2 linked regions of the Bombyx mori genome follow. The protein of the gene in region 1 purifies or fractionates together with the protein of each later gene. This does not show direct contact. Links are inferred from orthologs where the notes say so. Each region holds a gene or a part of one and is shown on either strand. Other genes may lie near its edges. The genes, in order: kinesin-like protein KIF13B and disks large 1 tumor suppressor protein.

Region 1 (3,834 bases):
TTGATCTGGACTACCAGTTGACTTCAGATAATTGTCTGACCGCGCGCTCTAGGCCCTCTATCTCGAAACAGTTCAAGGTATAACAAAAATAGAAAAATTGTAGAGTATTTATTTCTCTACAATATTGATAATAAATACAAATAGCGTACATACATAAATACAAATACAAATACAACCCATAGAAAACGAGATATTTGCAAAATATGTAAAAAAAATACTTAATGACTTTAATAAATGACGCTAAAACTTGCGACCATCCCATTATATGAAAATTTTGAGAACAATTTTAGAATGCCAAAATACAAGTTTTTACGTTTTTATTTTCGTATTTTTGTTGTCTTCTACTGGAAGGCGTACAATTGAGCTGATTGAAGTGTTTAGTCCGAGCATGGAATATTACATATTATCTTGCCTTGTAAGAGACGGGTAAACATTATTGAAACACATGCCTATAAAAATATATGTTAAAAAATGGCTCTTTGAATAAATTTCAAGTACAATTGCTTACAAACTGTATAAAGTATGAAGAGCTAAAAAGGTTATATTTTAAATATTTCCTTTTTATTTCATTATACATGCCCTAACCTTCAGTGACCCTGTTGAGGTACTGCGAGTCGTGTATGGAGGAGTCCCAGGACGCGATGGCGGAGACGTCCTTGTCGTGGTGGTGCAGGATCTGCAGCTCGTAGAACTTGTGGCCGAGCTCCTTGGGGAGGATGGAGTTCAGCCCCGCCATGCTCACCTCCTCGCCGCTCGGGTGCGTGGTCAGGTCGTCAGCTGCCGGTTGTGTGGGCTCAATATTAGTTACTAGATAGATTTACGGTAGGCAGCGGCTTGGCTCTGTCCCTGGCATTGCTGAAGTCCATGGGCGATGGTAACCACTGACCATCAGGTGGGCTGTATGCTCATCTGCCTACAAGGGCAATAAAAAAAAGGTACATTTCGACATTTAGTGCAAACCGTCGCCTAATATAGAATTTATCAATTCAAGCCACACCCGCGTTTGTTTTGCACGAACTTTCGTACTTAGCTTATAAAAAATATTTTCTAGTTATTTCTTTGCTGACTGGCTCTAAACTTGGAGTAGTTGGTCTTAGCACTTCCAGTAAGTTTTTCGCACAAAAAACCTAAAAATGAACGGCCACGGCGAAACGCGGTTATATTTTACTAGTGTTATATTGTCACTATGGTGGTAGTAGTATACTGTCGTTTTACTCCGGCGCCAATCTTGTGTGTCCAAAATGTAATTAAAAATTTCCAATTTTTTTTTTTGTAATTAACATGTACTGATTTGCAGTGAAGCATACCGTTGAGATCAAGGAACAGCACGGGGATGTGTTGCTCCATGCCGGGCGGAGGCGTCCAGGCGGCCGGAGCGCCCGGGATGGGGCTGCCAGGACTCGGGACTAGAACCTGAATAAAACAATCAATTAATATTTTGTAAATATTCGAGAATAAAAATGTTTGATAGCAAAAAAACTAAATTTTTTTTGGTACCGAGAATTCATTTTGTGAGTCGTTTGTGAAATTATGAATACTAGTGGCCCCCCGGTAGTCAAAATTGGACTATAATTAATTAAAATATAAGTTTGAACATTATTATGATTCTATTGTCAAAAACTATTTTACTATAAAACTATTATTACTTTTTTATTGAATTAATGTATTTTGACGCATAATTAAAAAAAAATTGCATTCTGCACTCTCTATATTCTCTATAAGTATGGGAAATTTCATACTCCTCCGTCCGCGCAATTTTCGTAAAGAGAGACTACAAAGTTTTTGCTTCAAGTATTAATATATAGATGAGTTAAGACCAGTGTGGTGTATATACCGAACCCTGATAAAAAATAGATATGGGATGGGTCGACTGCACCACTTTATATCGCAGAGCAATCATACCTTCCACTGAATGTAGTCTCTAGAGGTCAGCGTGCGAGTTGTGTCTGGGAACGCTAACGCTTAACCCTTTTAGTGCCGTATAGGTCACCGGTGCCCTACGTGGCGCACTGAATTATGTCGATTTACGTTACTGAGACGCCGGAATATCTAGTAGGCTCTGAGAAAGGCGAATCCGAAGATACTAAGAATGAATCTATTTCTAAAACATACATTAAAAACAAACGAAGGTAAAGTTAGGCAATTAGGCGCTTAGTAACAGAAATCGATATAATTACTTCAGTGCGCCGCGTGGGGCACCGGTGACCGGCATGGCAGTCAAGGAGTTAAACACCATGCGGTGAGCTCGTCCCTTACTTAGGACTACTATTCATCTTAAAGTCGTTGACATAATAGTTTTGGCAAAAATTCTTTAATCTTAGGTTGGGATTATAATAAAACAATTAACTTACTGCATTCCGCTCTTCGGTGAGCGACACCCACTGCTCGACTAGAGACTGTTCGCGTTCCATGTCGCGTTCACTCTTCATCGAAGGCGACATGTTTACCAATTTCTGTAGCAGAAAATTCGAGAATTAAACAAGATCACAGTTTACATTACAACCTCTACTGAACGAATTTGTCCCGGGTGGTGTTTTTTCCCCGACGTATACGCTGGTAGTTTAAGAGGCTATTCCAACTACGAACGAACTGGGCCGAACTCTAATCGTCGAGTTTGACGAGGACGGTGACCGAAAGTGAATCCGGGTGATCTGACAAGACGTGTTTCGGGCGACGGTGACTTTGTGTTGCCCCGTCACGGTCAAAAAAGGTGCCCTGTGAGGGTCCCCACTGGAATACCGCGTCCTGCATGTTCCACCCCGAAGAGGAGCCGTGGGTCTTGGTTTAAACAACACAACTAGCAGTGGTTCCGATTTAATTAAAATATCTCAAGACGAAATCGGCACTTGCTTATGTAGACTTGAATACCTGTTCATCAACAGGTGAGCTCCGTGACTCACGTACGTTAGTCAAAAATAAACTAAAGCCATTCATCAACACAGTATAGTATTCCAGGTGACCTGTAGCTGTGCGTGCAAGTGTTGTCTGCGCCGGGCCAGAGCGTCGCTCCAACGTTCCCGCAGCGTGGCCAGGTCCTCTTCCTGATATGAATCCAAAGGTTTTTGTAAGCGGGATCTGTGGACAGTTTCAAAAAAACTCGTATAGACATATAACCGCCATGTACAATAGTAGCGTGCAATATTAACGTCCGTCTGGTGTAGTGGTAAGTGACATGGTCACTACACTAGGTCGCGGGTTCGAATCCCGCCAAGGGAAGATATTTGTATGATAAATATAAATATATTTTCCAGGGTTATGGATGTATATTAAATATATGTATGTGTATAATAAAAATCTTACATTTATTTCCGATATCTGGTACCTGTAACACAAGTTCTTTACGAACTTATTACGGAACCAGTTAACGTGGCGTGATTGTTAGTAAAATATTTATATTTATATTAAATGCTCATTATAAAATTGTGAGGTTATAAGATTTAGAAAATTACGGTTTGGCTTTGAAATTATTACAATTTTTTTTTAACTAGTTTGGTATTGTTGAGGTGGGTCATATGAGGACACCTGCTCTCCTCAAGATGTTAAATTTCAAGGTGGAGATACAAACCCACTATGACTCTTACCAATACTTAAATGATGTGAAAAGTAGAAGTTGATAATGGAAGGATACTAAGTATTACGACCCACATCAAAATAAGAAAAATTGAAACATTGCAAGTTTATGATTTGTAATGAAAAAAAAATATGGACATCCTTCGATGCAGACGAGAACTTCACGTACCTGACCGTGACCGAGCCCACCTCGACGCTGACAATGTGCTGACATATGATCGGCAGCGTCCCCGAGTTCTGTGCGGGCTTCACGCGCACTGCGAT
Region 2 (3,319 bases), on another chromosome or scaffold:
TCTCTCACGTGAACCTAAAGATTGTACACATTAGGCGTTTGTATCATTAGTATTTGACACACTTGCACTAAGAGCATTGGCTCAATCTGGAAGTTGACTGATTTCTTTCGAGAGGCTTCTCTGCTGTTACTATTAAAGACGATAGAAACAGAGACAAGAGAATTTTGGTGCTTCAATCAATATTACAAAAAAAATCCTTACTAAGGAGGAATCGCCTGACATTAAACGGCTTGTAGCGTTTGTTTTTTATTTCGATAAACAATAAATCAGATCAGTTCATTTTCAAAGTTCGGAAAAGCACTTCGCGTGTGTAAATTAAACCGTGCTCATAAAACTCGTGTTCCGAGACGCCTAATGTGTACGAGCTGTAGCTAAAAGCAATAAAACGCGCTTACCGAGGTGCGTGCGTCTACGCGCGTACTATTACGTAATTCGGACCTTTCGGTTCTTAATATGCGCGTTTCCATGGCGCTTGTTTCTAACGACTAATGTGAACTAGCTGTTGTCATTAATTATAAAACGCGGCCGACGACTGCGACTCGCAGAGCGCCGGCAACACCACTAGGGACGCACAAACAACAAGGGAGTCGCACATTGCGTGCTAACAATGGCGAGTGATACTCGAGGCACTATGATAAGTAGTAAAGTGTACCGGGCGGTCGGTCGGGGCTCACGGGGGCTCACAGGGGCTCGCGGCGCGGCACCCACACGGACGGGCCGCTCTCCGCCGCGATCACCGCCTTCACCTTCGAGTATATCTCTTCCGGCGTGTCGCCCGTCACCACGGCTGTGAATCACACGCACCGGAATAACATATCAAATAAAATAAAAAAAATAAATAAATAAAATAAAATTCATTTAATTCAGACCCTCTCAAGTCCATATGTTGTAAGTTGAATAATACTTAGAACTATGGTTAGTAAAATTAAAATTAAAATTAAAATTAGCAATTAAAACATTTAAACATTTAATTCATAAATCTGCGCTGCTTTGAGGCACCTGGTATATGGGTATGTATATGAACCCAGTGTCTCAAAACAGCACATTCGGGTTTATTACCTATAACCATCAGGATATTATTAGTACTCGCACGAACCCCACGCATCAGTGAGGCCGTTCGTTTGCGGATGATTGATGAAAAATCATCCACGTGAGCATCCGCAAACATACCTGATGCGCTACAGTACCGCGGGAGCCCCAACAACATCCTGAAAGCATTATTATATTGCACTCGGAGAGCATTGTATGCCCGCCGCGCATATCGAACCCACAGGGTACAGGTATATAAGGACTGGCAAAACGCCTTGAACAAGGTTACCTTAACCTGTGCGGTACAACGGTAGAACCTGCGGGCCAGCATACTGCAGCGGACAGCCAACGCTCTCCGTTCCCTTTCAATATCTGCATCATCTTTAAGGTGCTCAGTTACAATATGGCCAAGGTATTTGAACTCAGTAACCCTCTTCAGTGGAGTACCTCCGAGCGTCACTGGTGGCACATAACTCGGTTTTGTCTTTGCTGCCTTAAAGACGAGCAGTTCACTTTTTTTAACATTATAGCGGAGCCCGTGAGATTCCGCGTACCTCTCACAGATGGACAACAACCGCCGGAGAGCACCGATCGATGGGCTCAACAGCACCATGTCGTCAGCGTAACTGATGCTGTTCACACAGTGACCATCAATCGAGCAGCCGACACGTGCCTCACCGAGTGCCTCGATCAACTCATTAATATACAGGTTGAAAAGCGCCGGTGAGGTTAAGCCCCCCTGCCTCACCCCGCATTCCAACCTGTACTCCTCCGAAAGTGTGTTTGACCATCTTACCTGATTGGTCTGATACTCGTACCAATGGGAGAACAAGTCCACGTAAGGTCCCGGTACGCCCGTCTGCCTCAACTTACCCCACAACAAGTCGTACCTGACTAGGTCGAAAGCCTTCGAAAGATCGAGAAACACTGCATAAACAGGCGTATTCCTCTCCGTGTAGTATCCCACCACATGCTTTAGCGACAGGATTGCACACTCGGTAGATAACATCGGTCTAAAACCGAACTGAGCATCACTTAATGTAAGATGATCACTCACCTGCCGCTCGAGCACTGCATCGAGTACCTTAGCAGTTATGGTTGCCAGGGAGATCGGCCGATAGTTGTTACGATCCGATACGTCGCCTGTTTTATTTTTTAAAATCGGGACAACGACCGTTCTCATTAACGCCCCGGGCAGATACGAATGTCTGATACAGAAGGTATATAAGAGCGCTAGCAATCTAGGTAAATGCGGACCGGCGTGTTGAAAGTGCTCAATGCTGAGGTGGTCATGACCGGGAGACTTACCCTTAGTCATATTCATTATAATTTTAGTTATTTCCTTCGTTGTTATCCGAGGTGGTACATGCGAGGGTCGACTCGGGTCCACCACCCCAGCATCAGCACCTCTACTTAACTGACCGGGTGATTGTACCCTGAAATGGTTTCTAAACAGATTAGCAATCCTCACAGGCTCACACTCGCCATCAATGCTCACCGGGATACCAGCTTTTGGACTCAATCTCCTTGTTTGTTTCCAGAAACCTCGGAAGTCTTTTTGTTCGTGTTTTGTGGCAAGAATATTCATTTTTATTTGTTCCTGATGGTTTTGACAAAATTTAAGCTGTTTTTTGAATATTTTTCTCGATTCCACCATATCCCTATACACAGTTCCTTTCCGAGGTTTCCCGTTCCACACCCAGCAAAGAAAAGTTTGTCTAGCCACCCGGTGAGCACTGCGGACGTGCTTGTTCCACCCAATCAATGGTCGAATACCCCTATGGGTTATTTCACACTTATTACTAAAATTATCATAACAGTTAATAGAGGCTTCAGTTAAAACATTAATAATACACATATAAAAATTATTTATAACAGATTGATGATTCACATTAGTACACATTTTATCACAACATTTGTTCAATTCTAGAGGAAAATCTATTAATTTCAATTTATCATTACAATATTTAAAATACATATCAATTTGATCTCCTGTGCGTTCACCCCATATAATTTTATTTACATTACTAATATTAGGCGGAATAGTCATGGATCTAACTCTTTCAAGATTACATTCGACCTCCAATGGAAAATGATCTGACCAGAAAACATCATAATGTATTTTTACGTTTACTACTGTCCGCCACGCGGCCACACTAGTTAAACAATGGTCGAGCCACGAACAGGTACCATGCGCAACGCTAGTGTAAGTATATGATTGAGAGTCAATACCTAGTCTCTCAATGTCCGCACATAGCCAATTCTGCTCCGCACAAAAACTTAACATTTC

Evidence for each region.
Region 2: the proteins of kinesin-like protein KIF13B (region 1) and disks large 1 tumor suppressor protein purify together in Drosophila melanogaster (affinity purification with western blotting; 3 studies listed by BioGRID). This does not show direct contact. The link is inferred for Bombyx mori from reciprocal best matches to the Drosophila melanogaster genes Khc-73 and dlg1.

Annotation. Positions count from the first base shown.
Region 1 is NC_085111.1:15,114,328-15,118,161, forward strand, and holds part of kinesin-like protein KIF13B, read right to left. Parts: coding exon 3,740-3,834; intron 3,076-3,739; coding exon 2,961-3,075; intron 2,454-2,960; coding exon 2,352-2,453; intron 1,414-2,351; coding exon 1,308-1,413; intron 778-1,307; coding exon 586-777; intron 1-585.
Region 2 is NC_085118.1:7,804,298-7,807,616, forward strand, and holds part of disks large 1 tumor suppressor protein, read right to left. Parts: intron 2,466-3,319; coding exon of another isoform or gene 2,443-2,465; exon of another isoform or gene 844-2,442; intron 788-843; coding exon 681-787; 3' UTR 1-680. UniProt on the Drosophila melanogaster protein: During embryonic development, some isoforms are essential for proper neuronal differentiation and organization. Required for cell polarity; maintenance of apicobasal polarity.